4 linked regions of the Canis lupus familiaris genome follow. The protein of the gene in region 3 interacts with the protein of the main gene of each other region in a biochemical or structural test. Links are inferred from orthologs where the notes say so. Each region holds a gene or a part of one and is shown on either strand. Other genes may lie near its edges.

What was found. The genes of interacting proteins can lie anywhere in the genome.
Region 1: of the proteins of COPS5 (region 3) and CUL4A, one has a biochemical effect on the other in vitro, tested with the Homo sapiens proteins (5 studies listed by BioGRID, with this or other methods). The link is inferred for Canis lupus familiaris from reciprocal best matches to the Homo sapiens genes COPS5 and CUL4A.
Region 2: of the proteins of COPS5 (region 3) and CUL3, one has a biochemical effect on the other in vitro, tested with the Homo sapiens proteins (2 studies listed by BioGRID). The link is inferred for Canis lupus familiaris from reciprocal best matches to the Homo sapiens genes COPS5 and CUL3.
Region 4: of the proteins of COPS5 (region 3) and IKBKB, one has a biochemical effect on the other in vitro, tested with the Homo sapiens proteins (2 studies listed by BioGRID). The link is inferred for Canis lupus familiaris from reciprocal best matches to the Homo sapiens genes COPS5 and IKBKB.

Annotation. Positions count from the first base shown.
Region 1 is NC_049243.1:60,778,948-60,786,751, forward strand, and holds the start of CUL4A (cullin-4A), read left to right. Parts: upstream 1-2,919; 5' UTR 2,920-2,936; coding exon 2,937-3,090; intron 3,091-3,580; coding exon 3,581-3,696; intron 3,697-4,352; exon of another isoform or gene 4,353-6,812; intron 6,813-7,549; exon of another isoform or gene 7,550-7,671; intron 7,672-7,804. Other genes in the region: PCID2 (PCI domain-containing protein 2), read right to left, coding at 2,366-2,401. UniProt on the Homo sapiens protein: Core component of multiple cullin-RING-based E3 ubiquitin-protein ligase complexes which mediate the ubiquitination of target proteins. As a scaffold protein may contribute to catalysis through positioning of the substrate and the ubiquitin-conjugating enzyme.
Region 2 is NC_049246.1:38,007,225-38,014,926, forward strand, and holds the start of CUL3 (cullin-3), read right to left. Parts: upstream 4,886-7,702; 5' UTR 4,871-4,885; coding exon 4,799-4,870; exon of another isoform or gene 4,630-4,798; intron 4,619-4,629; exon of another isoform or gene 4,598-4,618; intron 1-4,597. UniProt on the Homo sapiens protein: Core component of multiple cullin-RING-based BCR (BTB-CUL3-RBX1) E3 ubiquitin-protein ligase complexes which mediate the ubiquitination and subsequent proteasomal degradation of target proteins.
Region 3 is NC_049250.1:17,044,317-17,052,219, forward strand, and holds the start of COPS5 (COP9 signalosome complex subunit 5), read right to left. Parts: upstream 4,124-7,903; 5' UTR 4,105-4,123; intron 4,099-4,104; exon of another isoform or gene 4,014-4,098; 5' UTR 3,767-4,013; coding exon 3,624-3,766; exon of another isoform or gene 3,616-3,623; intron 1,415-3,615; coding exon 1,180-1,414; intron 1-1,179. UniProt on the Homo sapiens protein: Probable protease subunit of the COP9 signalosome complex (CSN), a complex involved in various cellular and developmental processes.
Region 4 is NC_049237.1:24,147,810-24,155,539, forward strand, and holds the start of IKBKB (inhibitor of nuclear factor kappa-B kinase subunit beta), read right to left. Parts: upstream 4,886-7,730; 5' UTR 4,714-4,885; intron 4,181-4,713; 5' UTR 4,163-4,180; coding exon 4,058-4,162; intron 1-4,057.

The sequences.
Region 1 (7,804 bases), on a different chromosome or scaffold from region 3:
GGGCCACGGGGGCAGCGACCTCCTTTCCAAGAGCTCACAGGAGAGAAGCACACACGCCTGGGGGGGGAAGGGTACACAAATGTGGTGCGCCAGGTGAGGGTATACATGTCTTCAATGTTCTCCTCTCAACTTGTCTGTAGATTTGAAAATTTTCAAAATAAGGGATCCCTGGGTGGCTCAGCAGTTTATCGTCTGCCTTTGGCCCAGGGCGTGATCCTGGAGTCCCAGGATCGAATCCCACATCAGGCTCCCTGCATGAAGCCTGCTTCTCCCTCTGCCTGTGTCTCTGCCTCTCTCTCTCTCTCCCTCTCCCTCTCCGGGTCTCTCATGAATAACTAAATAAAATCTTAAAAAAAAAAAAAGAGAAGAAAGAAAGAAAATTTTCAAAATAAAAAGTTGGAGGAAAGTTACAATTTTTTTTTAAAGATTTTATTTAGTTATTCATGAGAGAGAGAGAGAGAGAAAGGCAGAGACACAGGCAGAGGGAGAAGCAGGCTCCGTGCAGGGAGCCCGACGTGGGACTCCATCCCGGGCCTCCAAGATCAGGCCCTGGGCGGAAGGCAGTGCTAAACCGCTGAGCCACCTGGACTACCCGAAAGTTACGATTTTAAATGTAGATAGTTTTTTAAAAGTAACTTGCCATTTGCGGTAAGAGTTTATAGAATAGACCAAAGAAAGAAGAACACCAAACAATACCAGCCCTTAGAGAGACCCCAGAAATACTGAAGAGCCCCAGTTGCGGGGAAAGTGCAGCTGACCCCTGATGGACAGGTCACACCACGGCTCTTTACTGTACGGCACAGTAAATGTATTTTCTGCTCCTTACCATTTTCTTGATAACATTCTCTCGCTTGGCTATAAGAATGTCGTGGATAACACAACACAAAACACAGGCTAGTTGACCCTTTCTGTGGTTGGTAAGGCTCTGGGCCAACAGTAGGCTATCGGTTAAGCTTTTGGTGAGCCAAAAGTCATAGGCTTATTTCCAACTGCTTGGGGGAGTCAGTGTCCCTAACCCCCACACTGTTCAAGGGAGAGCTGTACAAACAAACCGATCTTTTACTAAAAACAATTTTTAAAAGTAGAATATTAGAAAAAATGTTACAGTAAATTAACTCCACCTGTCCTCTCCAAACAGAAACTGGAGGCGTGTGGAAGCACCAAGCACTGAATAAAAAGGGCCTCACGGGAGGCAGGGACAGCCTAGTGACTGCCGACCACTGCACGGACAGCCCTCCCTGGGCTGCTCAAACTGGAAGTGAGCGCTGGGAAGACAAGGCCCTGACAACTAGCTCTTCCCTTGGGCCGCTGTTCAGGGCTGTTGATGTGGCTAGTCCCTTTGAGCAGCGAAGCAATGTCTCCCCCATCCCTTGAGCGAAACGCAGGCTTGCTCGTCACCTGCCACACAAGGGGTGGATGCCTTCTTTGACGCAGGTGCAGGCACCCTTCCGGGCCCACAGGCACTGACAGGCTGACCCCACACCACCGCTGTGCTGAGCTCCAGCCCTTGGTCTCTGGCCAGGAATGCGTGTGTTCCAGGAGCATCCAAGGAACCAACAAGAGAACCTGCAAGCTTCGGGGAGAGTGAAAGCAAAGCAAGCCCTGACCTGAGAGCTGCTGGGAAGTAATCCCGGGGACCGGGGCAACAAAGACCTACCTGTGCGCAGGCAGCTGCCGACCCAGGATGTGTTAGGTACGAAACAGGGAGCAGACTCGTGTGCAAACCCACAGGGTCAGTAAGATTCAAGAGACACTTCCGACCCCGAGATCTGGGGGGGGTCTGCCTGGGACCGAAAGCGCTGGCTGGCTGCGGCGAGGCTGCCGGCCGGAGTGCTGCGTGGAAAGGCTCGGCGTCTGGGGCCAGAAGCTCGGGTCGGAACGGCTGCCCCTGGACGGCCGCGGCACCGCCTCCAAGGAAAAGTGCGAACTAGGGGCCGCCGTGCACCACGGTAAGAGCTCGCCGGCGCGGGAACGAGGGGCGCGGCCGAAGCTGGGGCAGACCCGGCAGGGCGGGCGGAGACCGGACTCGAGGCGTGGGGTCGCGGGTCTGAGCCCGGCAGGCTCGCCCTTGCGCCTCCCCAAGCCCTCGAGGGCTTTAAGACGCACATAAGACGCCAACGAGGGCCTGTAGTCCAACGGGTTCTCAAAGGCCCACCCCGCGGGCACCGTCAGAGGAGAGGCCCGAGGCCCGCGGCGGGGCGGGGGCGGCGGCGGCGGCGGCTGCGGCGGCGGCGACAGGAGCCCCTAAGCCCTCACGGTGCCCCCGAGGACCGCCCCCCCGGCCACACCCCCGAGCGGACGCCGGTGGAGCTTCTCGCATCGACTCCCGCCGGCCCACACCCGCGCCCCGGCCCCGCGTACCCACCTGCTGCAGGTACTGGTTGATGGTGATGTGCGCCATGGCCGGACCCCCCGCGGAAAGTGGGCGTGGGCGGGGCCTGCGCGCGCGGCTGCGTCCGCCTCACTTCCGGCCGCCGGTCCGTCCGGACCTGCGCGCCCCCCAGGCCCGCCTCCCCCGCACGCGGGTTCCGGAGGAAGAGAGTCCGCGGCAGCGTGCGCCCCGGGCCGGGATGGCGGCGCGCCCGGGCTGAGGAAGGCCGCGGCCTGCGCTTCGATCCGCCACCGCCTCCCGGCGAGGACGCCCGGTCCGCGCCCTCTGGGTGCCTGGGCTCCCGCCCGGGGCAAGCTGGGCCCCGCCGCCCCCCTCGACCGTTATACGTTCCACAAGGAGCGCGGCGGCCGCCGGGCGGCCCGGGGCGGGGGCGGGGGCGGGCCGGGGCGGGGGCCGGGGCCGGGGCCGGGGTCGGGGTCGGGGTCGCGCCGGGCCGGCGGGGCGGCGGTTGGGCGGCCGGGGCGGCGCTGACGCGAGGCCCGCCCGCCCGCGCGGCCGGGGAGGCGGGACGGGGCGGGGCGCCCGCTGCTTCCCGGCCGCCGCCATGGCCGACGAGACCCCCAGGAAGGGCGCCCTGTCGGCGCTGGTCGGGCACACCAACGGCCTCACCAAGCCCGCGTCCCTGGCCGCGGCCGCCGTGGCCTCCAAGCCGGGCGGCGCCGGCGGCTCCAAGAAGCTCGTCATCAAGAATTTCCGAGGTGGGTGCGGGGCGGCGGGGCGGCGGGGCGGGGCGGGGTGGGCGCCCCCGGCCGCCGGAAGTGCCCGTCCCGGGGAGAGGGGGTCCCGGGGGGGCGCAGGGGTGGGGGGAGGGGGCGCCTCCGGCCGCCGGAAGTGCCGCTCCCGGTGGGGGGGGGAGGGACGGGGGGGGCTCCCGGCCGCCGGAAGTGCCGGTCCTACGGAGAGGGAATCCCGGGGGGGGGGGGCGCCCCCGGCCGCCGGAAGTGCGGGTCCCGGGGCCTGGGGCCTGGCGCCTGGCGGGCGGCGGCGAAGGGGTGTCCGGTCCCCGGAAGCGCCCCGGCTGTGTCCCGGCTCCGGCGTCCACGCAGCGGGGGCCCGCAGCGGCCGGTCCGCGCCCGGGGCCCCCAGGACTGGGTCATTCCGGGAAGGGAAGCGGGGGGGCTGCGGGCCCGTGAGCGTGATCGTGGGCGCGACGGGGGCGCCGACCCTCACCCCGCCCCCGCCCCGCAGACAGACCGCGGCTGCCGGACAACTACACTCAGGACACCTGGCAGAAGCTCCACGAGGCGGTGCGAGCCATCCAGAGCAGCACGTCCATCAGGTACAACCTGGAGGAGCTGTACCAGGTGAGGGCCGAGGCGGACCCCGCGCGGGCGCTCTTCCCCCCCGTCGCTGCCGCACGGCCACGCGGCCCTCCTCCTCTTTATTTTCCGATCGTTGCGGTTAAGACGCGGAAACGGATTTTGTTACGTCCGAAGATGTTCCGTTTCCAACGTAATTGTGGAAAAGGAGCATTACTTTACGTATTCCGTTGATCAGCAGACCGGTTTTCCTGATAACTGGTTTTCAGAGAATAGCATTCGTTGATTAGTGCGTTACCTACCACCTACATTTTGCATGACCGTGTGATAGATACCTCCGTTTCTATGAAGACATTGGAATTAAAACTTTCTGTTTGCATAACTGTTTGTTGTAAGAACTATGGACATCACAAAAAAGGACAAAAATAAATTAAAACCACCTGTACTCCCGCCACTCAAGGAAGACCGCTATTGGCATTTTGGTGGACATCCATCCCTTCTTTGTAATAACTTTGTATGAGTTTATATTTTTTGATCGACTTTTTGAGGCATAATTTGCATAGAACCTGTACTTTAGTGACTTATATTGAGGTGTAAATGCTGTTATCATGGTAACATACAGAATTTTTTTTAAAACATTTTTAAAAATTTTTATTTATTTAGGATAGTCACACAGAGAGAGAGAGAGAGGCAGAGACACAGGCAGAGGGAGAAGCAGGCTCCATGCACCGGGAGCCCGATGTGGGATTCGATCCCGGGTCTCCAGGATCGCGCCCTGGGCCAAAGGCAGGCGCCAAACCGCTGCGCCACCCAGGGATCCCTAGAATATTTACATCACTTCAAAGAGTTCGTTCTCCTGACCTGGTCCTGGCGGATCACTGACTTCCTTGCTGTTGGTCTGTTGGACCAGTTTAAGTCTCATCGGTGGAACCTGTGTGGGGCAGTTGTCTGCACCCAGTTCCAGTAGTTTGTTTCTTTGTTGCTGGGGAGTACAGCTACAGCCTTTCACCAGGATAACTGACAGTTTGCAGTTGGTAGGAATAAAGCTGTTCTGAACCTGAAGGAATAAGTCTCATGTGGACATGGGTAAATATCTAGAAGTAGTCTCAGAGTCATAAGGCAAGTGTACATTTGACTTTAGGACATTTTCTGTTTTCAAAATGGCTATACCATCTTGTATCTGGGCAGCAGTACGTGAGAGCTCCGTTTTTCTATGTTCTTGCTAACACTTGGTATTATCCGATTTTTTAAGGAATTTTATTCACTTGAGTACACATGTACTGTTCTTTTGTATTTCCGTATGAATTTTATGATGTTTGCCAATTTCTAAAAAATAAAGCCTACTAGCATTTTGATTAGGATTGTGTCAAATTCTAGATTAATGTGGGGAACGTTGATGTCTTGATGGTACCAGGCGTGCCAACTGATGACACGGCACAGCTTTGTTTGCTTTTCCTTGATTTCTCAGTAAGGATTTCTGGTTCTGGTGTGTAGGTCTTGTACATCTTCTATGAAATACTCTTAAGCGTTTCGTACGTTTGGTGGTATTACAAGCAGTAGTATGGTATAAGTTTTAATTTCTGGTTCTTGCTAGTATATAGAAATAGAAATTGTTTTTTGTGTATCACTCTAGTACCCTGCTCTCTTGCTGACCTCGCTTCTAGTAGCTTTTTGTAGATTCCATGGGATTTTCTACCTAAGCAATCACATCACCTATGAATAGAGGTGGTTTCACTTCTTTCTAGTCTGCATGCCTTTTATTTCCTGTCTTGTGTCCCTGCACTGCTCAGAACCTCCAGAACAGTGGTGAGTAGAAGTGGTAAACCCACACTCTCTTGTTTAGCTCCTGCTCCTAGTGGGAAAAGCCTTCGGTCCTTCATCATTGAATATGATGTTGAGTGTTGGGCATTTTTTTGGTGGTGTTTTGTTTTGTTTTGTTTTCTAAAAATACCCATTTGTCAGGTTGAGGAAGCTCCTTTCCATTCCTAGTTTGCTGAGAAATTACCAGAAGTACCTGTTGGATTTTGATGACTTCTTTTATGACTGTTAAGATGATCATATGACTTTTGTTATTTTAGTTCTTTGCATTGTTTGACGTCTCAGTTGGTAAGACCATCCAGCAGTCCTTGGATAAATCTGACTTGCCTAGTGGTGTATGAATTTTTGATGTACTGTTGGTTTCAGTTTGCTAACATTTCATGAGTTTTTGCATTTGTGATCGTAGAATAGTGCTGTCTTGTTTTCTTGTAGTGTATTTGTCTCAGAGTTGCAAATGTTTCCTCTTTTTCCTTTCTTATAAGGGTTTGTATGGAACTGGTGTTCTTTTTTCCTTAAACGTTTGAGAGAATTCCCAGTGAAACCATCTTGGCTTTCTTAGTGGAGAGCTTGTGAACTGCACATATCTTTAGTGGCTAAAGAACTCTTCAGGTCACTCATCTCTTTGGATTCACTAATCTTCTGTGACGTCTGATCTGCCAGGACTGCCATCTGGTGAAATTCTTTCTGGTGCATTGGTTTTCTGTCCAGGTGCTCAATTTGAATCTTTTCTGTATCTTCCCTTGTCACTACATAATTTCCAAACATAGGGAATATACTTATGATAGCTGTTTTACTGTCAGTTCCAGGCCACATTTGTCTGCTTTTTCTTCCCACTAAGGGTCGTGTGTTTTTTCTTAACCCGTTGGATAATCTTTGATCATCAGACATTATGAATTTTGATTACTACGATAGATATTTTTATATTTCTATAAATATTCTGAGCTTCATTGCAGACAAATTATTTGGAAACAGTTTGATCTTTTAGAGTCTTGCTTTTAAGATTTGTTAGGACTAGGGCAGTATTTTGTCCAGGGTTAATAATAGCCCCATTGAGCGGGACAATCTTCTGAATGAGATTAGGTGCCTGATGTCTTGTGGAAATGTGCTATTTCAGGTTCTCTCTGGGCACTAGACACTGTTGTCTCTAAACTTTTTCGGTGGTTCTTTCCCTGGCCTTCACCGTTTCCTCACATATAGGTCAGTGCTCTGCTGAATCCTCAAGGGGCACCCACGAGGGCTCCTCGTTCATCTCCAAGCTCCTGTCTAGATGCATCTCTCATCTCTTCCCTCTGGACCTTCATCTTGGAGACTTGAGCCTCAGCTCAAGGCACCTGCTCTGCAGCCTGGAAAGAGTGATGTAGGTAGTCATAGTGTTGGGGCTTGTTTCCCATCTCCCAGAGATCTTTGTCTTCCATAGGCCAATGTGCAGTGTTTTGAAAACTGGTTTTTTGTTTTTGGGTTTTTTTGTTTTTTTGTTTTTGTTTTTGTTTTAAGATTTATTTATTTGAGAGACACCAAGAGAGCACAAGCAGGGGGAGGGGCAGAGGGAGAAGGAGAAGCAGACTCCCTACTGAGCAGGGAACCCAACGTGGGGCTCAGTCCCAGGACCTCAGGATCATGACCTGAGCTGAAGGCAGACTCCACGTGCACTGTAGAGCCTGATGCTAGGCTCGATCTCACAACCCTAAGATCATGACCTGAACCAAAATCAATATAGTTGGATGCCTAACTGACTGAGCCACCCAGGCACCCCTCGTATATTTTGAATGGTTTTTGGTTAATTCAGGCAGAAGAGCTAGTCTAGTCCCTTTATTTAATCTTGACCAGAAGCGGGAGTTTCATCAAATGTCTAAACTCTCATAGGTTTTTAGTTTAATAAAAGATTATATCTTGCAGCTAGGGCTTATTATGCCCCTTTTCCTGGAGGTTTGACTATCTGGTATCAATTGCCCACGATTTTTCTTAGTAGAATGATTTTGCCATACCTATTAGCCTGCAGGATGTCTTACGATAGTCACCATAGAAATTATTGTGAAGGCCCTGTGTGTGTCTTGAGACCCTGAGGGCCAGGGGTGCTTACCTCAGAAGGGCCCAGTCGGGGTCAGGTGATTGAGGAAGGGGCCTGGGAAGTGGCTCTTGTCCACTCATGGGGACTCACCCAGCAGAGTTCAAGGACAGGACTATGCAGTCAACAGCTCAGATCTTTTGGAAACAAACGGGATAGAAATAGTAAGTGACGTCATTGCGTAGTTACTGACTGCTTGCTTTATCCTGATCTGTGATAAAGTAGGCTGTGCTTTTGACTCGTTTCAAAGTAAAGTCTTAAGTTTTTGCT
Region 2 (7,702 bases), on a different chromosome or scaffold from region 3:
AGTGGCACCAAACCTGCATCCTTTGAGACTTAGTGTGGTTCAAATTGGACCGGCAGGCTTTTCAAAATGAAAAACAGTACCAAAAAATGGCAGCATCACTAAAACAAGCATACGGTATTACAATACAACTACCTGCAAAAATAAGACTCAATTTTAACATTTACATCGTGGCATAATGGCTAAATAGTGGTTATTAACCATAGCCATGTGCTAGGTAGTGTTCTAATGCTTTATCTCACAACAACCCTATAAGGTACATCCTACTAGTAGTTTCATTTCAGAGGATGAAAATGAAGCTAGAAGGGGTTAAGTAACTTGTTAAAAATGATGCAGTGAAAAAAAAAGGTGGAAATGACATTCAAAATCTGGCAGTCCAAAGCCCACACTCTATTACACTCTCAGTCTATTTTTTAGTCATACTCCTAACACAGACGTTGAATACGCTAAAGGAAAATTAAAGGAAAATTCCCCTACAGACTATCCATAGTTTTATTCTAATGAGTAGTCAAAGAAATGCAAACTAAAGCATTAAAGTACTATTTTTTTCACCTATGAAAAATAAAGATATAAAATGTTGGCTAAAATACTGCTATATAATAGAAACACAGCGATACAACCTTGACAGGTATAATTAATTCTGAGGAACATTCACTTTAGAGCCAGATTAGGATCCTAGTCCTGCCACTTACAAGTAGTGTCCTGAAGCAAATTTCTTAGGTTCTCAAGGCTTCCTCTGTAAAATAGATGTTAGTGGCAGTACTAGAGTTGTGCAAATGAATTGAATTTATACATGCAAAACACAAAGAACAGTGTGTGTGGCACAAGATAAGCATTCACTGAGTGTTAGCTATTATTATTACTACCTTTCTGAAGGTCAGTTTGGCAATATATATCAATTTTGTTTGGCATAGTAACTCCATAATCATGGATAGACTCAAATATTTATGTGCCTAAATAATCACAATTTTATTATCTATAAATATGAATTAACTGGAATCAACCAAAACACTTGGCAACAGGGAAATGGTTAAGCAAACTGAGGTACCATAAAGTACTAGTCTTTACAAATCATATTCTTCATACATTTAACATGAGAATACCATATTTTTAAAAAATAGTTTTTAAAATAATGTAGTACCTCAATTTTATTGGGTGCTCACAAGTATACAATACAAAGATTAAAAGAAAACACATCAAAATGTAAATGTTGCTTATTCCCAAGCAGTAGGGTTAAGAGGTGATTTTTATTTCTTTATTTATAAATTTAGATACTTAAGTTTTTTACCATGAATATCCATCACTTTTATAATTAGAAAATCTACTAAAATGAATTCATTGCTTTGACAGATTATAACTTAATAGTTTTCACAATACACTGACAGACATTAATTGCAAGTCCTATTATACCTCAGTGATTTGTGCTTACTAGTAACACCTTTACTTTTTTACTGTATTTTTGAATAAACGAGATCTATTTTCAGAGTTGCATTTGAAACAACGAACTGTCCAGTAACTTTTACAAAAATTTAACAAAACTGCTAACAAATATCAGATACTTTTCAATGAAAATAACAGCAAAAAATTATCTGATGGGAGCAATTTAAAATACAAAGTCTTAATTATATTATCTTCATGAATTAGAGAAATGCTGTTATTACTTAGCTAAATTTAATGAATGAATGATGTACAAATAAAGCTTTCTCCATCTTGTCTCAATGAACTAATCTTATTTAAAAGGCCAAATTCTACAATATACCCTATACTTTAAAATAGTTTCAAATTCAATACTGGAACTAATCATTTTCCAGGCTCCTCTGAAGTATCTAGGAAGATAATGCAAAATACAAATGCCTTATAGGTAACTACTTTACGCTTTTGTTTTTTAACTTCTAAAGCTGAAAACATACTAACAGCTACAACATAACTGGATGTCCTGAAACTACTAAACAAATCAGTCTAAGTGTAAACAACGCTTTAACGAATCTTTTATAACTTACTCCATAGTTTCTGTATGCTAGAGAATGGTAAGTAAATATAGTTAATTCCCCACCCTGTTTGATTTCCAGGACTATTATTCAGACTATTATTCAGCTTTCCTGTATATAGTCCAGGTAATCCTAGGCAACTGTTACTTTCTCTAAGGAAATCTATTATGAAGATCAAAGCTGTTTTTTCCCAAATCTAGCAAATTTTACCACAGCTAGGAAAAACAAAATTAAGTGTCCCCAATTACCATTAAACTCTTGTGTTCTTAAGTACATCACAAATGATCTTAAAATTCATCTCCTTCTATTGTCATCCACTCTGTGGTTTCCCTCTAACAATAACCTCTACATGACTCACTGTCCATGCTACACAGGTAGAGCTCCAAGAAGCCAATCTAGGATTATGGAGTGGACATCACAACCAGAGATTCTTCATCATGACTATGCTCTATAATAACTGAAACCACTTCCAGATCACACACTTCTAAAGACCATCACTTTCATAATATGACTTCTAAACTCTGAAGGCTAAGTCAAGAAGGGACTATCAGAAGAGAGAGGAGCATTTTCATTCAAATATATCCCCTCCAATCCAATCAAGTTTTTTCAAGCCCATGTGGACAAAACCCATGTGGAAAGTACAGATGGAGAGGAATGGCTTTTCGAAGATAAAGGACAAAAGGTTCACCTGACAGCAACTAATTCTACATAGCAGAACAAAAGAAAAGCTCAGGAGTGAGACATTCAACAACAGCAAGGAAAGAAGAGCAGAAACTTCTTGGGGCAGCACTCTGATCCAAATCCATATAGCTTCCAAGAGTTTCGCAACTACAGCTTCCTTCCTTAAAAAAAAAATTTTGCCCCTTGCTGTTAATTTTGGGTACCAAAAAAAAAAAGTGAAATGACATATTTTGTGCAGTGTAGGAAAGCTTTCAGGCTGGGATAAACTTTAACTCCATCAACAATTTATGAATCCATAAAGTCCTCACTGTTTTCCATCTTAAAAAAGAACTAATTTCTCTTAAAATCTTACGAAAAGTTCTACTTAAAATGCAAATTGTAGATAAAACTGTGGTATGGCATAACTTACTCTTGGGAACAATAATGAAGGAACACTTAAAATATGTACTCAAAACACTAAAAGAACCTGATTTTACTGATGGGTCTGTATCTGGAATATGCTTACACATCTTATAGAATAGCCTGTGAGTTCACTTACCACTCTGTTTTGCAATGAAAACAAAACAATCTCAAAACATATTTTTACACTTTTTACACGTCGATTTTATAAAACAGAATCCTGAAATGAGCACCTGAGACCTTTGGTTAAACTATAATTTTCTTAAACTACAGTACCTACAATGCATGTCCAAAGATTAATACAAAATACTATATAGCTATAAATATTGTACATCTGTACCACATACAAACGCTATTTTTTCTTTATGGAACAGTATGCATTTACTACTAGAAGACTGCTAACCTGTAAGAAAAGAGAAATTTTGAAGGTCTATAAGGACTCATTTACCAAAGGGTAAGTCGGTGAAATATCATACCACTGAGGCATTTATCCAAGAAACTGTAACTTAGAAGTTTATAAATCAAAAAAAAATCTAGGTTCTTTTCAGTAGAAAGTTGTTACGAATATTATAAATCATGAAACATTGAAAAACTATGCTTTTAAAAATTAGCAGGTACTAAACTACTGAGTATCAAACAGTAGTCATTTATAAACTTCAATAAAGAATATTAGAAAATCTTAGATGGCAACAAGTTGTGGACAGAAAAGATCCAAATTAGCTCACAATCATTAACACACACACACAAAAAAAAAAATCAGTTTCAGGACTATGTGCTAACCTATCATATACTATACTCTTTTGCTAAAGGAATCATGAAATTCTTTCCTGCCTCTCCCAATAATAAATACAACATCCAGAAAGAAGGGATCTTTAGTCTTCAAGCTGTATTGACTTACTCCAAGCTCCTAGAACAGTGCCTGGCACACAGTACTCAGTCTTCATTAAACGAATGAGGGAATGAAGACCAGGTAGGAAGAGGTAAACCTAAATGGACGAAAAAGCTAATCACGCTTAAAGGTACAACTGGTTAATCGCAATATTAACAAAAGTGAGTTCATGTCAAATGTGAGCTATGCCGCATTATAGTAGTAAGTTTGAGTTAGAAGAACTCAGACTTCAAGAATAGCAAATTTTTCCTAGAAAACTTGTTATACAGAAAACTATTTGAAACTCTTAATAATTCGAAATCCTGCTAAACATGTTCACAACTGCTTTAGTAGCAAAACTAACATTACTCAAAAATTCCTAAGCCCAGCTCACTTCACTGTTAAGAGAAAACATGCTGACAGACTTCATTAGTTCTCTTCTGCATTAGTGTCTTCCCTCACTGCAAATCACACTTCAGAAAAAAGCAAGCCTTCCCACAGTGAATACAAACCCCACCTTTTCCCCCTTCCCAAAATATGACGTGTGTAGGATTCTAAGACATTCAAGATCTTTCCCCAGTTTTACTGTTGTTTTTTTTTTTTAAAAAAACAAAAAAAACAAAACCTTCCGTTCGACTGCTGGTTTGCCTTTCTTGACATATACCTGTTACCGTAGCGACGTGAGGCAAGAACGTCCAGTTTCTGTTACAACAGTACACTTTAATTGCTTGCCATGGGCTATCTGAATCAGGTATGGCATCCCAAGTTACACTCTCTACACTAAATAATGCCAGCGTATGACTCAACGTAACGCTAAAAAAGAAAGTTTCTAAACAGAGCAGCCTTTGCTGTCGCTGAAACCCACAGCGTAGAGCAACTCGGGGCAGTGACGACCCCCTCCTGCTGGGCTTCCACGGCTAAGATCTGGAGAGGCCATTGTCCAGCGTGTGTTCTCTGGCTTCCCCTTGACCCTCCTACAAGTGGCGAGGCCAATTCCTGCACAAGAAGAGTTTGTAAAGTGCTTTTGGACGCCTGTGGATGAAAGAGGCTATAAATACAGCTGACGAGGTTAGGTGCGTGCGTTACTACCGAGCAGTGCAAGGAGCCACGGTCACTGCGTCGGGGGGCGGGTAGGTGGGCGGCCAGCCCCCTTCCTGCGGAGGCACAGGACAGCCCCCTCCACCCCCCGAAAGGTCTGGCGGGCCCTGGTTGAGGCCGGGTTATTTTTGAGACCGCACGTGAAAAGTTCCACACACGCCCCCCCACACACGGAAGACTTCCACAGTCCCCGTCCCCGCGGGTGTGGTGGTCCCGGGGCGCCGGCAGGGAGGGGAGCACCGGGGGCCGGGCCTACCCCCCGGGAACGTGGGAAGGGGCCGGCCCAGGGGCCCCCGCCGCAGCCGCAGCAGCCGCCGCCCGCCCGCCCGCCGCCGCCGGCCCGAGGCTCCCGGGCGGGTGCGCGGCGCCGGCCTGAGGCGCCGGGGCCCCCGAGCCGCCCGCCCCGTGGCCGGGAAGGCTCGCGCCCCGCGGCCGGCGGCGTGGGGGAGGGGAGGCCGGGCCTGCGGCCTGTTGGGGGAGTTCAGCCCGGGCCTCGCGTGCGGCTCTCCGCCGGGCCCCCCGGCCCCGGGGTCCCAGGCGCCGAGGAGAGACTCACCGGAAAGGCCCGGATCCGCATCTTGGTGTCCTTCCGGCTGCCCGTGCCTTTGCTCAGATTCGACATGGTGCTCGTCCCCTCCCCGGCGGCGGCTTCGGGTCGCACTCCGAGGCGCCGGTGTCACATTTAAGGCGGGCGGGCCGGCGAGGGGCTGCGCTGGGGGGCGGCGGCGGCGGCGGCGGCGGCGGCGCGGCCCCCGGGCTGGGCTGGGGAGCGGGCCGGCCCCTGGGCGGCCGCGGCGGCTCGGGCTCCGGCGGCTCGGGCTCGGGCTCGGGCTCGGGCTCGGGCTCGGGCTCGGGCTGCGGCGGGGCTGGGCTGGGGGGGCTGCGCTGGCGCGGCGCCTCCGCGGGGTCCCCCTCACGCCCGGCTCGGCTCCCTTTATCGCGCTCCTCCGCGATGGCGGCGGCGGCGGCGACGGACAAACATCTCACTGCGCAGGCCGAACGTCCTCCTCCTCCTTCTCCTCCTCCGCCTCGACGAGACGAGATCCGGCCCAGAGGGTGGAGGGGGGAGGAGGGAGGGAGGAGAGCCGGAGAGTGGAGAGATCGGGGGGAGGGGGTGGGAGGACGGGAGGGGGAGGCGGGCGGCCGCGGCGGCGGGGCGGGGCGGGGACGCCGAGATCTCGCGAGACGAGGGCGAGCGCGCTGCCCCGGGTGGGGCGGGGCGAAGCCTGAGAGCGGGCGGGGTCCGCGGGAGGGGAGGAGGGGAGCGGGGAGTTGGGGGAGTGGGCGTGGCCAGCGGGGCGGGGAGGTTGGGTGAGGGGCGGGGCTGAAGGCGGGAGGAGAAAGCTGCCTTTTTGAAAGGGGAGCGACGGCGGCGCGGAGGTGGTTGCTGATTGGTGGAGCGCGGCGCGGGGTGGGAGGGGTCCCGGTCACGTGGGCGGAGGGGGCGGGGCGAGTCCTGAGAGCCGGAGCCGGACGGTAGTGGGCTGGGCGGGGTTGGGCCGGGGTCGGGGGGGGGCGGGGGCGTAGGGGTGCCAGGTGGTTGGCTGCAGTCTTAGAACTGGTTCCTGTGCGAGTTTCTAGGGCATGTGAGCTGGGGGGGTTGGGGGGGGTGTTTGAGTGGAAGCCAGAAAGTCCAAGGAAGAGTTTGTGCAGGAGTCACCTGCGGCCGTGAGTGCTGTGTGCCCTACGAGGGGCTCCAACGGGGTGCGCGCCCCCGCCCTCGGGATTGAGGGGTGCCGCTCATCCAGGCCCCTTCCTGGGGGAACCCGGGACTCCAGAGCGTTAAAACCTCTTTCTCATCCTTGAAATAAAATGACAACTCCCTTCATGTAGTATTTTGGCAGGTGGTGAAGAATAGAGCGGTAGGATGATAGGAACCTGCCCTTGACCTGCCGAATCATTTCTGCCATTAACCAAGAGTATTGTCGATTTTGGAAGCCGAAATTACTGTCTTTGATCCCAGGTTGTTGTGATTTTGGAAGTTGTTTTTGTCACTGTGGTCAAGGGGTCTAGTTGGATTCATCCGTTTTGCTCTTTATCTTTTTATTGATTGTGAATTTTACTTCCTGATTTACCTCTTTGCCCAATTGGTATTCTATCTGGACTTCTGACACTGCAAAGAATTATGGGAGTTCCCACTAAAATTTATAATGTCCTTTTAGGTGAGAACCTACTGTTGGGATGGGCACCTACATGTGGAAACTGAGGTTTTGATAGTTTGCTTACTTATTGTGATACTTTTCAATACCTCTTTATTTTTTATTTTTTAATTTTTTTCAATACCTTTCTTAAAGCAAGGATGTTAATACTTTTTTTATAGCATTTGAAAGCTGCGGTTTTATACTCTTTAAGTCAACAGAAATCTACTTTGTTGTGTGATTTGCCCTAAGTTAACTTAATCATGATGACTAAATTTAGGAATGTTGTGCTTTCATCCCCTATTTTGTGGAATGCCCCTTTGTAAATGTATTTTCTTGCTTTGTTTTCTGGTATTTGCTAGTGGAAACTTGAGTTTAAGAAATAAGGATATTGCTTGAAGCAATACCCCTGTAAATACTGAAGCTAAAAATAGGTCATCAAGAACTGGGTTGATAAGATTGGGAAGGGCGCTGATTTAATATAAGATGGTAGGAGTCTTGGATAGGAGGGTATAATCTATATGCAGATTGGA
Region 3 (7,903 bases):
TGCATATATGTAAGTTAATAGAAACACACATAATGACATACCACGTACAGTGCTCTTTGTTTTTTCAACTCGACACAATATTGTGGGGTTTGTTCCATGTAAATAAAATATACAGATAATTTTTTAATTTTTTTTTCTTTTTTCCGAAGATTTTATTTATTTGTTCATTAGAGACAGAGACACAGGCAGAGGGAGAAGCAGGCTCCATGCAGGAAGCTCGTTGTGGGACTCGATCCTGGCACTCCGGGATCACGCCCCGAGCTGAAGGCAGATGCACCCAACTGCTGAGCAACCAAGGCATTGCAATTTTTATTTTTCTTAAAGGCTGGTTTGCATTTCATTGTATGGATATACCATAATCTATTTAATCAGTTTTTTTTTTTAAGATTTTATTTATTCATGAGAGACACACAAAGAGAGACAGACACAGACAGAGAAGCAGGCTCCTTGTAGGGAGCCTGATGTGGGACCTGATCCTGGGACCGGGATCACGTCCTGAGCCAAAGGCAGACGCTCAACTGCTGAGCTACCCAGACGTCCCAAGTGTACTATCTTTTTTTTTTTTAAGATTTTATTTATTTATTTATTCACGAAGACACACAGAGAGAGAGACATAGGCAGAGGGAGGAGAAGCAGGCTCCATAGAAGGAGCTTAATGTGGGACTTGATCCCAGGACTCCAGGATCACACCCTGAGCTGAAGGCAGATGCTCAACCACTGAGCCACCCAGGCATCCCTACTTAATCAGTTTTATACTCAGGAACATTTAGGTTGTTTCCAAATTTTGGTTTTAAACATATATCTGATACTGAGTGTGAGAATTAAAAAAAATTTTTTTTTATTGAGATATAATTGATGTATAACATTGTATTAGTTCAGGTGTACATCATGAATCACTATATGTATGTACTGCAAAATGATCATTATAAAAAACGTAGTTAACATCCATCACCACACATTTGGTACAACTTTTTTTCTCTTATGATGAAAACTTTTAAGATCTATTCTCTTGAGTATGGGAATTTATTTAAAAATATCCATGCTAACCTCTTACACATTTTACATAGACACTGTTGAAAATAAAATATAAACCTTATGTAACGAGGATAGTTTAAGTTTAGAAACTCAAGAGTCTCCATGAGACTCTTAGAATTACTGAACTTTAAGCAACATTTTTACCTGTTTGGCGTTTTCGATATACGCAGCCATGTACTCATATGCAGCAGCCTGAGCATTTACTCGGGTTTCAGTGCCCTCTACAGGCAAAGCAAAACTGTCCATAATGATCATGGTTTCACCGTCCACCTTTCCCAGCATTAAGCCCATCACTTCCAGGTTGCCTCCTGATCTGGCATGCATCACCATTTTCAGTAGAGCCAATGCTGAGATTTTGCAGTACTTAAAATAATGGTGACTACAAAACAAAAGTACAGCACAATTAACTTATATAAAACACAATTTCAAAGATAGTTTTTGTAAAGAAAACAAGTATTGAAGGAACTTACAGTGATGGGAAAGGGGAAAGAGTGTAGAAATGTGGGAAAGAAAAGGGAAGTAGAGTTCTTGCAGGGGGCTGGAAATGAAAAACATGTTGGGTCCTGCAAAGTATTTCTTTAGGGGAAAAGTATGAAATAGTTTTTTAAAATATGCTGTTTTAAATATGCTGTTCAAGTAGAAAGGAATTACATAGAATTCAATAGACTTTTTCTCCATTAATTTTGGAATCACCAAATCTCTGATTCTGAGTCTAGTTGGATGGTTGTGCCTAAAGATTCTCAGGCCTAACTTTCTGGCCTGACATCCAAATGTGGGCTCTGACATCCATCTGATTAAGTTTGAGTCTTTGCCCTGCCATGCTAGCTGTTGCCTAGAGACAATCACCGCATGCCCACGCCTTAGTTTCCTCATCTGTAAATAGGAATAGGTCACAGATTTGTTGTTAGGAAGAAATAAAGTGAAATAATTTACATAAATGCTTATCTTACTACCTCACACATACCAAAACTTAATATTAAGTGCTAGCTGTTATTAGCCTTAACCCATCTTTTATAGTACTCTCAAAAAAGTGTGTTGTTTCTTTCTGTGTTATCAGCCTCAAAATGAAAAAAGTAGCTCTAATATCTTTAGTTCTGTTTTGATCACTATTTAAAAGTTTGTCATATGTATATGTGACTAAACTACTCTTGAATAAAATTACATTTTCCGTTTCACTGATGCAGCTCAAGATCGCTGGGATGAACATAATCAGAGCCGCAATCAGACAATAAGGCACACGGATAGTTTTCAAATATTTGGTAGTCTATAGTATAGCAACCTTAAATGCATAGCCTGTTATAGAGTTAAGCAAACTGTCTTTAATAATATGGTCAATGTGTTTAAGAAGCCCCCCTCCCCTACTTTTTTTTCCTTCTTCTTTCCTGAGAAGCCTTTTTAAGATGTCTGCCCACAGATTTCAATCACAACTGAAAAATATGGAGACCTGGTCTTGGGAGTCAAGACATGAATTAATCTTGGGTCTTTATTCACTGGGGAAAAGAAAAAAAAAGTTATTGTGCTCTTATTACATACATTGTAGACCCTTTTTAATGCATTATCTCATCTAATCTTTATGAAATCACCAATGGGTGGGTCTAATTTTCTTTTTACAGGTAAAAAATGAAGATACATAAATTTTCTAGGGCCAGTCAACGAACTAGGGACACTTGTGAGGTTTGAATTTTAGTCTATTATTCACTTAAGAGTTCACTGCCTCAGTCTGATCATGAAGTAAGTTACTCGTATTTGCTTATTTTCTTATTTCCAAAAAAGGAATGAAAATACAGTACTGGGTTGTCATGTAGACTAAATAATATATTATAGAAATTCCTAAGCTCAGTGCTCAGCCCATATTAAATACTCGATAAACATGGAAGAATGTTTTGTTGTTGATCACTGCTGTCCTTTCTATCTCTCCATTTGAAGACTGCTCTTTTTACTCTCCCTTAACACTAAGGGTAAATGCTGTGGGTAGAGTCCTTCACTTGTCATCATTCCCAGAGACACAGGGCATTTGCTAAGGGGCAAACAGCTTTAAACTCTATTGATAAAATTTCTAGTTCATGTTAACTGGTGGACTAACGTTTTGGGAGCCTGGGTGGAGCCTCCTTGTATCTGAAATAGTTACCAGCAATCAACAATCGATTTATAAATGTCTAAAAGATGGCTTATAGTTAGAGACGCCAGGGCTGACTTGGCTTTTGAAGATGGGTGCAGTCTCCAGTCTCAGATAAGCTAGAGGTCTCAACAAGGTGTATATCAACACAAGGCTTAAGGCAGAGTGTGTGGCATATATATGACAATATAGATATTGAGAAATGAGAAATTATAATCGTTTGTCCTTTACCCTTACATCCCCTGGAGGCAAACGGGTTAAAGAGACAAGAAGGGGAATCGAAGCAAGACCCAGGAGAAGGGCTTTGACTCTACTTGCGGAGAAAAAGGTGGACCCAAATTTCCCGGGTGCATATTCTTCTCCCTGTCCATGAAAACACTAGCTTCCCACCCTCTGCAACTCCCACTCCCCTGGGTGTCCTAAACTCCCGCCACCCCTCCCATCCCCTGCGTCTCGCCAGGGACCTCCTCACTCCTTAGTCCAGGGCTTCGCCGCCAGTATTTCTTGCTGCTGTTTCTTGTCGTATTTGTAGATTTCATCGATACTCTGGGCTTCCTGCATGTTGTTGGCCAATTCCCAGGTTTTCTGAGCCATACCACTCCCGGACGCCGCCATCGCCGTGGAATCCGAGAAGCTGTCGCCTCCACGACCAAGACGCAACTTTACTCGGCTAGGTTCCTGGGTGTGGGCTTCGGACCCTTCCCACCACAGGTGCAAACTCGTACTAATCTCTCGAGGCAGCCATGACACCCAGAACCGGAGGTGAAGTCAGTACAGACCATTCGGGGATGGCGGGAGCGCTTCCGGGACGCCACGATACAAACAGCGGTTACATAATAGAGACAGAGGAATCCTCCTGTGGCTGAAACGAGAACATATTATCTTAGAAAATTATATGCGCGCATTAGGACAAACACAATGACGGAGCGTGAGAATGGTATAGCCTTCCGCACCGGAAGAAGGGCACGGCAACGTTATGCCAGAAACGAACGGGTCCTCTTTGTTCGCACTGCGCAGGCGCGGCCTCGGCCATATTAAAAGTGGGTTAGCTCTTTAGGCTGTGTTGGGGGAAAAAAAAAGACCTGTTTTCGTGTGGGTGTGTGGGTACCTTAAACAAAATGTTTGTTGAAAGCCTACAAAAATAAGGATGTCTGTGAAAAACTTGAGACATAAGCAGTTTTGGATGCTGGTTGAGACGAAGATACACCTGGCATCCCAGTTTACTTCCAGATGAGTCACTGCACATGCGTAAAGTTCAAAGGACCCTTGGTTGGGCTCTAAGGGTCTCTTAAGAGAGCAGTTCTCCGGCATTTCAAGAAAGCTGTGGAGACTCGTGGAAGGCTACGACAGGGTCTTTTGTCGTGTTTGTAAAAATTAACATCTGTATGAGCTCTTAGTGTTTTGAAAAGATCAGTACCCAGTTCTTAACAATTCGTTTAAGGTGTGAGACCACTTCCTATCCCCGAGGCCAAATTAATCTCAGCAACTTTTTTTTTCCCCCAACAGTTAATGCAGTGTTTAATTATTTCACTTATTTGCTTGCTTGCTTCATCTTTAATCATCCTGAAACTTTGCATATGTGGTCAGCCTTGCTTGAAATACTCTCCCCTGGCGGTTGTGTTGTCTTGTTTTTTGCCTGGGAGCTCAAATTCATCTTCAAAAACAGCTCAGGGATCTCTACCATGAAATGTTGACTTTTTCCGCTCTCCAGTAATGATTCCTTTTAGATGTCTCTAAACGTCTGTAGGTGCTTCTAGAACTGTTACGTTGCATTGTAATAATGTATTTATTTGGATTTTTTTCTTTTCACTAAAAGCTTAAGAGTTCAGGACGCGGCTCTGGGTTGTGTCCTCCACTCCTAGTACGGTACGTGCCAAATAGTTAAAAACATTAGAATTATTGAATCCACATCCCTGCCTGCAGTTTCGACATTAACTTCCATTTGAAGAAAATTTGTTTTTAAAACCCTCTTACAAAGTAACTTAGGACAAAGGATTCTTAGTTCCCCTCTGCTGGAAAGCTAGAGATCTCTTTTCTCGTGTGGCACATGGCCGTTCAGTATTGGGGGGAACCGAACATGTTGAAATTAGTAATAAAAAGGGGAATCCTGGGTGGCTCAGTGATTTAGCGCCTGCCTTCGGCCTGGGGCGTAATCCTGGAGTCCCGGGATCGAGTCCCACGTCGGGCTCCCTGCATGGAGCCTGCTTCTCCCTCTGCCTGTGTCTCTGCCTCTCTCTCTGTGTCTGTCATGAATAAATAAATAAAATCTTTAAAAAAAAAAATAAAAACCCCCAGGACAAAACATTGATGACCAGACTCCAGGAAGAGGAGAAATACGCAGGGGAGGTGTGCAAACATTTTTTCCCTGTCACCCCTATCTTTTTTTTTCCACGGCGGCTGCGGCTAGCAATGCGGCTAGGAAGGTCTAGAGGGGCTAGAATCGATTTAGCTTGGAAAGAATTTCTCATGGTTTAACAGCTCCCACTACAGACCAGAGGCACCAGGCAAAGGGCCAGATACACCCAGCCTACGTGTAGGCGAGCCTGCTGTGCGGCCTCCGGGGCGAGAGGGGGCGCTCCGACTGCGCGACGGTACCCCGGCGGCCGTCGTGGGGGCGGGGCCGCATTCGCCGTTGGGAAGGGCGGGAGGAGGGCTCGGCTTAAGAGGCGGAGCCGGGGCCGCTCGGCTTGTCACGGTGCTCCGGTGCGGGGCGGCCGTCGCCACCTCTTCGGCCTGCGGAGAGCTTCCCTGGGGCTCTGTGCGTCGTCCCCAGCGCAAGCCGGCTCTCCTGAGTAAGCGTTAGGCAGCCGCGGAAGGGAAGCGGGCCTGGCGGGGTGTGGCCGGGGTGGGCGCGGGGTGTCCCTGGGCTGGGTTGGCGGCGCGGGCGCGGGGGCGGAGGCGGGGGCTCCCGGCGGCCACGCCGGCCGCGGAGCCGGACTTCGCGGGTCTGTGAGGGCGGCGGTCCCTGTCGGGTGAGTCCTCGTGGCCGCCGGGCCAGGGGCGTTGCCCGAGCTGCAGGGTTGAGGTCGGGGTTTCGGGGCTTCAGGGCGGGGGGCGGGGTCGGAGGTACAGAATCCTGGTCGGTTCGGCCGGGGGCGGTGCTTGGTTCCTGCGGGCGGGGGTCTCGCTGCTGCCCGGGGGCTCGGGGGCGGCGTCCCGGGGGCGCGGGCTGGGCTCTGCCGCGGCTCTGGGTGCTGTGGAGACCCGGTTGCCTGACGACGGGTTGACGCTTCTTAACTGGGCCGCCACCCACAGCTCCCGCGCGTCTTCCCTACCCAGCAGCTGGCTCTCCGCTTCGGGGCTGAGTTTCCCGGAGCACCTCCCCCCCCTCCCCCCCCCCCCCGGGTGCTGATTAATGGTTAACGTTTATTGAGTGTTTGTGCGCTCGGCGCGGTTCTCAGCGCTTTGCTTTGCAAGGAAAATTTACTCCCGTTACCACAGCCCTGTGAAGTCGGTGCTGGGTCCTTGAGCTCACATCTCCTCGTTGCCTTCATTTTAGGATTGTTATCTGGGATTTGGATCCAGTTTTCAGTAAAAGTTAGCAGTGGGACTCCTTTCTCGAGAGAAGTTGGCTCTCAGATTGTAGGATTGAAGAGTTTACCTTGCATTTCCGGGAGGTAATGCAAACCAACACTCTTTCCAGACATTTCTCAGAAAATCCCAAGAATCTAATAGCAACCAATAAAAGTTTGTAAAAACTCAAATACCCTCAGAGAGGTTCTGTTTTATATGAAAGAATGGCATGTCTTGTTGACAAGCAAGAGGGAATCCCACGGACACCAGTAAGATGGTGTTTTCTCTTCTTTTTCTTCTCACTAGGAGGGCACAGACTTTGTGGTGGTTAACTAGCTGCTGAAAATACTCCCTAGGGATGAAATTTTAGGTCTCCTGCGTACAGATGACCTTCTGAAAGGGAGCAGATGGTTTTAAATAGGATAAATTGAAACAGAATGGTTTCAGCACAGTTTTTTTTTCCAAATGAAGTTCTCAGATAAATGGGACTTTCTTATTACAAACTTGGAGATTTCAGATTATTCTTTTAACATCATTCTGACTTGCATTCCCACTGCTCTATTGAGTGGAAGGCAAAGTTGATTCTTTTAACATCATTCTGACTTGCATTCCCACTGCTCTATTGAGTGGAAGGCAAAGTTGAGTAAGTATTCTGGTAATTTTGCATAACCTAAAGGCCATCTAATTTATGCTTCTGTTCTTTGTCACCATTAATGAAGGTGCTAAAAAAACTTAATTGTGCTTTTTATATATTAACTCTTATCTGTATCCTAACACTCAACCTTCGTCTCCCCCCGGTTACTTGTTAGCAACATTTACAGAGATTTGTCAAAATTTGGGTGTGCTTATGGAAGCAAGTTGATCACATGGATGTATTTGCCAAGAGAAAATGATTAAGTACCTTTCATTTGGTGGAAATATCTCTGGATGGATGGGAAATGAGCAACATTGTCCAGGTTCACCTCATCCCTTCTCCTCTTTCTTTCTTTTTTTTTTTCCTTCTCTTTCTTCTAAGACTGTTTCACAGGCTCCTTCCTGCATTCCACAGACATATGTTCTCCCTTCCTGCTATTCTGTTCTCAGCCCTATTCTCTGACTCTAGGGTCTTTTTCAAAACATCCTTTTCTCCTGTAGCTGTAATGATTATCTGAAAAACTACTAAGCCTTCCCCTTCCACTCCTGGACCATATTCTGAATTCCAGACATAGTCAAATTGCTTTCTTCATATTGCTGCTGGAT
Region 4 (7,730 bases), on a different chromosome or scaffold from region 3:
GTGGGAAATGAAAGAAAGCCAAAACCAGAAAGGGCCCCAGCTGACCAGGAACTCAGAGCCTTGACAGGACACATTCTTATACACAAAGACAAAAAGGCAGTATATGAAGCAGGCCAAATGAGTGAAACTGAAGGAATTCAGGGGAAGAACTAATTTCCATAGAATGAAGGAGTCCATGGCAACTTTACTGAGGAGGTGGTCTGCAGCTATACTGATTATGTAAAGCTGTCCAGGAGACAGAGGCTTGTCCCACAGAAGGCTCAGCCAACCAACTTGTTGGGAGCCAACAAGAGGAGGTAATGCTAAGAAAGACACGGTGAGGCCAGACTGTCAATTTGACTTTGGCTTTTTAAAAAATAAAGATTAAAAAAAAAGAACGAAAGAAAGAACAACCATCAACAAAATGAAAAGGCAACCTAGGGAGGAGATATCTGCAAATGATATATTCAATAAGGGGTTAATATGCAAAATATAAAAGGAACATACACAGCTCAACACCCAAAAAACCTAATGATCCAGTTAAAAAAATGGGCAGAAAACCTGAATAGACTTTCCCCAAAGAAGATGTACAAATGGACAGCAGACACATGAAAAGACTCTCAACATCAGAATTTTGTATTTCTGATTTCATCAACCCAGAATTTTCTGAGGTTCTGGCTCACGGGAGAAAAATCCCTTGTGCACAGATGTTTCTAAATGGGTGTTAAATAAACTAATTCACCGTTTCCCGTAAAAGGGACACTGATTATACATGTCAGGCCTCATGGCTGGAGCAGATTTTATTTCTGTAGCCCAGACACCGATAGGTTTACTCTCTCAAGGCGCTCAGTGGCGAGGCGACTCCCGACCCGAAGAGGGCTGAGGCATCCGGTACTTGGACAGGTCCAGGTTGAGGTCATCATGGAAATGCAAATCAAAACCACAATGAGCTATCACCTCACATGTGTCAGACTGGCTAAAATGAGAGAGACAAGAAACAACAGGTGTTGGCAAGGATGTGAAGAAAGGGGAACCCTCATGCACTGTTAGTGGAAATGCAAACTGATGAAGCCACTGTGGAAAGCAGTGTGGAGGTTCCTCAAAAACTTAAAAATAGAACTATCATATGATCCAGTAATTCCACTGATATGTATTTAAACACAGAAAACAAAACACTAATTCGAAAACACTAGTATATGCACCCCTATGTTTATTGCAGCATTATTTATGACCACCAAGAGAGGGAAGTAACCTAAGTGTCCATGAATAGAAGAATGGATAAAGAAGATGTGTGTGCATGTATACATACATATACATATATGTGTATATAAATGTGTATATGTACACACACATGCACGTATATATATACACATAAAATATCCCATGCAATGGAATATCACTCAGCCATTAAAAAGAATGAAGTCTCGCCATTTGTGACAACACAGATGGATGTAATGAGTATTACCTTAATGAAGTAAGTTGAGGAAAAAATGTCATATGATTTCATTTCATGTGCAATCTAAACAAATGAATGAACAAACAAAAAAAGGAGAAACAGATACATAAATACAGAGAACTGGGGGGACCTGGGAGGCTCAGTTGGTTAAGTGCCTGCTTTCAGCTCAGGTCATAATCCTGGGTCCTGGGATTGAGCCCTGCACTGGGCTTCCCTGCTCAGTAGGGAATCTGCTTCTCTCTCCCTCTTCCCCTCATATCTGCTCATGTTCTCTCTCAAATGAATAAATAAAAGATGTTTAAATAAATAAATACATACAGAGAACTGGTGGTTGCCAGAGGGAGAGAGTTGGGGGATAGTTGAAATAGGTGAAGGAATTAAGAGGTACAAACTTTCAGTACCATAAATAAGTCATGGGGGGATGAAAAGTACAGCATGGGAAATATAGTCAATAATACTGTGAGAACATTGGATGGGGACAGATGGGGACTATATCTTTCATGGTGAGCACTGTATAATGTATAGAATCGTCAAATCACTATGTTGTACACCTAAAACTAATGTAATAATGTATGCCAACTTCAATTAAAAATAAAATAAAAATGAAGGCTACTGGTTTTCGAATAGGGGAACTTGAAAGTAGTAATTCTAGAAGACTAATCCATACACACAAACACACACACACATTTTTTTCAGGCCCATATCTATAAAGCCAGGAACAAATTCCATCTGACAATAGCTTTCCAAATTCATAGAGGCCATTCTGAGCTAGAAATGACAGACACATGGCACACCTGGACAGAACTCCTTTTGAGGAAAACCATCTCTACTTCAGCTGCTGAGATATTTGCTGCAGTCAAGAATCTAAAAGCTGTGGCCTATCTAGAAGCAGCCCAGCCCAGGTATATGTGGGGCCATAGAATGATCTGGCTCTTATGTTGTAATGTGAGGCCCACAGCTCTACTCGGACCAGAACACATTTGAGCCAGCTGTGGCTCAAAGGAATTCCAGCTGTGGCTGAAAGGAATTCTGGTTTCCCAGTTCAATGTGGGAATTACCACCTCCGGAACTGGACTGTGCCCTCCAGCTCTGGCTCCCACTCCTCCAGGGGTCGTTCCATCTACTCAGAGCTGACAGGACTCAGGGCAGGGCCTAGAATGTCTTCCAACTAACTGATAAAGGAGCGTGGCTGTCTGGAATGACTCTCTGATGTGGCTGGCCAGTAGCCTTGATGACTCTCTCGCTGGCTGCTGCAGCTGGCTCCCAAGAAGTGGTACACTTCCTTTCAGTCCAAAAAAGTGCTCAGCAGCCCCTGATCAAAAAGCAAGTGCTTCCTTCAAGGACTTCGGGGGTCTGATTTTGGAGTCAGGAAGCCAACTTCAGTTACTCAGTGACTGGGGGTTCCCTAGAGCAGTGGTCTCCAAATGGGGTAGATGTGCACCAGGGTTACCCAAGACTGGAATCCAAAACAATTAAATAGAAATTAAGCTTTTTTGATATTAACTTTATGAAATCTTCCTCAGATTATTTTTCAAAGATCATATATCTCGTGGACCCAAGGTATACTGAGGAAAATGGGCATTCCACAGGGAGTGGTGGACAGGGGCCTATGGAGACATGTTTCAGGTTACATGTGCCCCTGCTTAGGTGGATTATGGATCGTAGTATCTGAGGTCAATAAAATGACTCTCACAAAATGGACAAGTGGCTAAAGAAATTTCTGCAGAGGACTTCAGTACATGTAACACCAGCATAAGCAAAAAGGAATATGGAGGAACACTTCTATTGTGAGAAACTAAACTTATTTCAGACACATAAAGAGTAAAAACAATCAGGATCTAATCAGTCAGAAATAGGTCCAAATAATTCCAAATTATAAAAATTATTTGAAATACGGATTTTCACCCACTGTCCTTGATAATTCTCTGTTTCATTATGGATCTGTATAGTCTGTGCTGTGCAGTATTGCAAACAATAGTGGGAACACATAATTAGTATGTATTTAAAATATTTTTGGGGATCCCTGGGTGGCGCAGTGGTTTAGCGCCTGCCTTTGGCCCAGGGCGCAACCCTGGAGACCCGGGATCAAATCCCACGTCGGGCTCCCGGTGCATGGAGCCTGCTTCTCCCTCTGCCTGTGTCTCTGCCTCTCTCTCTCTCTCTCTCTCTGTCTGTGTGTGTGTGACTATCATAAATAAATAAAAAATAAAAATAAATTAAAAAAAATAAATAAATAAATAAAATATTTTTGAGCTAATTCTTTAAACACTTAAATATATTTTACGATGCTCATTCTTTAAATTTTTCAATTTTTGTATTTCAATATTAATACACAATATATTAGTACATGATAGCGTGATGATAATAAAGATACTAGTTTAAGATATATAAAAGTTAAAATATTTTTACAATTTGGGGGCCATAGTCAGTAAAGCTTGGAGACCACTTAGAGGCAGCTGAGCAGCTCGGAAGCCCCCTGACGGTTCCCGTTTCTCACTCCCCCAAGAAGCCCAGGGCCAAGGACGAACCCCGTCCCCCACCCAGCACAGTGTAGGGCGGAGGCAGTTCCCAGGAGCCTGTCTTCCCGGCCTCTGGCTCAGCCCAGGTGCACAGCGCCCCTACCTGATTGTGCCAGCGGATCACGTTTCCAAATCCCCCTGTCCCAAGTCGTTCTTTCATCTCCCAGGCCCCACATGTTTGGGTTGGCAGAGAAGGTGACCAGCTCATGCTGCTGCCGCGCTAACTCTGTAAACAATTTGGTGTAGGGGACAAAAGATCAAGGTTAAGAGAAAATGGAACTCAAGCAGACGGAGAAGCTAAGAGACAACATTGCCCTTCGGTGCGAGAGAGGAGCTGGTTTTCACTTTATAAATGAACCAGGCTGTCTGGTTTGGTTTTGGGTTTGGGTAGCCAACTTTTGTCACCCCCCCACCCCCACCCCGCTCAGCCGTAAGGGAAGGAGGCGGGGAGGACAGTCCCTCGGAGGCCCGCAAAGGGCATCCCCCGGACCGCAGCGAGGGCGCCCTGTCCCGCGCGCTCTGCCCTGGGTGGCCGGGGCACGCTCTCCGGTCACGTGTGTCCTCACACGGTCCCAGAGCCCCCGCCTCCAGGCGGCCCCCGGAGTCACCCCGGCTCCCGCGGTCCGCCCGGAGAACCCGACTTCTCAGCCCGACCCCAGGGTCTCCGGGAGCCTCAGGGAGGAGGGGGCGGGCTCGCGGGCGCCGAGGGGCGCGGGGTCTGCCGGCGGCACCTGGCCCGCGGCCGCCCGAGGGACTCACCTGTCGGCAGGGGCGCGGGGCGGGGCAGCCGCTCCCCAGGACCGGGGAGGCGGGGGCTAGGGCGGCCAAACCGGGGGCTCTGGCGCCTCCCCGAAGACATTAAAATGCGGGAATCTCAAACGGGCCAGCGCAGCGCCACTTCCTCAAACACTTCCTGCTCTGACGTCACGGGGCACGTGGGCCGCGCGCCCTTAAAGGAGCCGCGGCGCCACAGGGGGCCCGGGGGGTCGTCGCCGCGGTGACCCGCCGGCGCGGCGCGCGGCTTCCAGCGGGCTCCCCCGCACCCGGACAGGCGGTGCCCCTGGGGCCCTAAGACGAGCCCGAGTGCGCCGGACTCGGTACACGGTGACTGGAACCTGCGGCGGTTTCTGGGACGGGGGAGACGGGGATTTCCTCCCGGGAACCCTCCGGGGGGTAATGGACGCCGCTTCCTGGGCTGCTCCCTCGCTGGAATTTCCCGCGCCCGCCAGGGTTTCCTTTCGGCCTGCTGACAACTGCCCGGCCCCTCCTCAGGCTGCGTCCTCCGTCCGCAGGGCTCGGCGCTCGGGCTCGGGCTCGGTGTCCAGCACGACCAGTCACGGATGTACTCCCAAGAAGCCACAGCCTCTACTACCCCCTTCACGAAAAATGAAAGGAGGGAAAACCTCGTAGTTTCCGCCGCAGTGATGTAGGGAAGTTGTAAGAGGTTCGCCGGTCCGCTGCTACCTGCCTGACGTGGTAATGAGGTGTGCCGTGGAGTTTCTCAGTTCTGTGCATTGCACTAACACCAAGCTGGTGTGTGTTGGTAGATTGACCCAAGCAGGAAGAGTAGCATTGGAGGAAACCTGAAGAATATAGCTCCCCTTTATAGGATGCTTCCGAAGCGCCGGGCGCTGCCTACACACACTCTGTACTTACAATTCCTTCTGCGGATCCCCAGGGCAACCCTCCACATCGGGAGGGATTGGATTCTTGTTCTTGTTATCCCCATTTTTTAAAAAAGATTTATTTATTTATGATAGACACACACACACACACACACACACACACAGGCAGAGACAGAAGCAGGCTCCATGCACCGGGAGCCCAACGTGGGACTCGATCCCGGGTCTCCGGGATCACGCCCTGGGCCAAAGGCAGGCCCCAAACCGCTGAGCCACCCAGCGATCCCCTTGCTATCCCCATTTTATAGGTGATAAAACTGATGTGCAGATAGGAAAATATGTCCAAGTCACAGGCTAGTAAGTGTATGAACTGATAGTCCAACCCAAGAGGCTGGTTTTTAGGTCCAAGCTCTTAATATTTGATGAAATGTATCATACTAAGAAATTCAGAAGGAGGCAAACTGGAGTTTGAATCCTCACACTGCTATTGACTACTCTGAGATTTGGGGGCCAATTACTTAATCATTCCAAGCGTCTATTTCTCTTCCTTTTTTTTTTTTTTCCAGATTTTATTTATTTATTTGACTGAGAGAGCACAAGGTGGGAGGGGCAGAGGGAGAAGCAGGATCCTTGCTGAACAGGGAGCCTGACACTCACACCTGGGGTTCCATCCCAGGACCTGGGATCATGACCTGAGCCAATGACAGATGCTTAATGACTGAGCCACCCAGGCGCCCCCATTTCTCTTCTTTAAAATGTGGGCAGTATTAGGTTGAATCGAATGAAGTCACCTTTTTTTTTTGTAAAACAAAAACAGTTGAAACACGAGCAACAAACATCAGTGGTTTCATCTAGTTTAGCCCAAGAGCAGTAGGAGGACAGGAGGACACCAGCAGAGTTGTCCTAGACAGATGAGTTAATAACACCAATGGCCATGCCCAACACAGAGAACACCTGTCTGCAGAAAACCTGAGGCTGAAGTCAATTTAGGAACAGTGACATGGTTTGTAGTGGTGGGTTACAGAGTGCACAGCCAAGAAAGAATTCTTCAGACATCTTTGATGCAAAAAGGTGGTTTTATTAAAGCATGGGAACAAGACCTATGGGCAGAAAGAGCCGCTGCCCCAGGATTGTGAGGAACAACTGATTATATACTTTGGAGATGGGGGAAGTAAAGACCAAGGGAAGTTTCCAAAAGGTCTTTCATATCCTAAAGAAGACTCACAGGATCCTGGAGGCCTTGCTGTTGCCTAGCCGAGGTTGTTTCTCCCTTTAGCAAAGCATTAACATTAAGAACAGTTGGGAGTTTCCTGGAGGCATGTTATATTCTGCTTGCCCCAAGTGTTTGTCAATAGGCTGAAGGTTATAAGGAAATTTAGTTTCATCTACATTTCCTTCTGCCATTGTTCCCCACATCATTCCCACTGAACAATTTTGACCCTTAAATCTTTAAGGTTGTCGAGGGTGGAAGGTCTCATCTTCTGTAACTTCTTCCTGCTGATAGGGGTACAGAGAGATGTCCCTACCTATGCGTCCGCATTGGTCAGTTGGGGAATTTATATACATAGGTGTTACCAAAGTCCAAGGTACACAACATATGTGTACCTCACTGAGTAGAAAGGATCATTTATCAGCTGGAAGCTATGGCAGTGAAGTCTTGGCACCAGGCAAGGAGACAGGAGAAAAGACAACAAAATAAGGTTAATAGTATAGTGAGAAAGAGAAGCCCAATAAAAATGGCATTGATGGTCAACTAAAATTTTTCTCCTGCTCTTTATTGTCCTTTAAAGAGAAGTTTGATATCTTCCACAGGTTCACAGGAATAAGAAGCCACATTAGTTTGCTCATTGGATTCCTGTGAAGGCAGTACAGGTTTTATACTTGATATAGAAGCTCATGAAGAGTACCTCTCTCATTTTATTTCAGTGGGAATACATAATATGACCCAGCAGGGGTCCTTCCATTTTGGAGTTAAAACCCCTGCTGAAAAAAAAAAAAAAAAAACCCTGCTGTAAATAAACCATCTCTCTGGGGTTTATATGGGGTGGTTTGCTAGTGACTATCATATCAGGTTTAGAGAGAATATAGTTTGCATATTCATTTAGAAATTTATGAATTAACCCGGCCTCAGAGCATTATAGTTTCCACCAATTG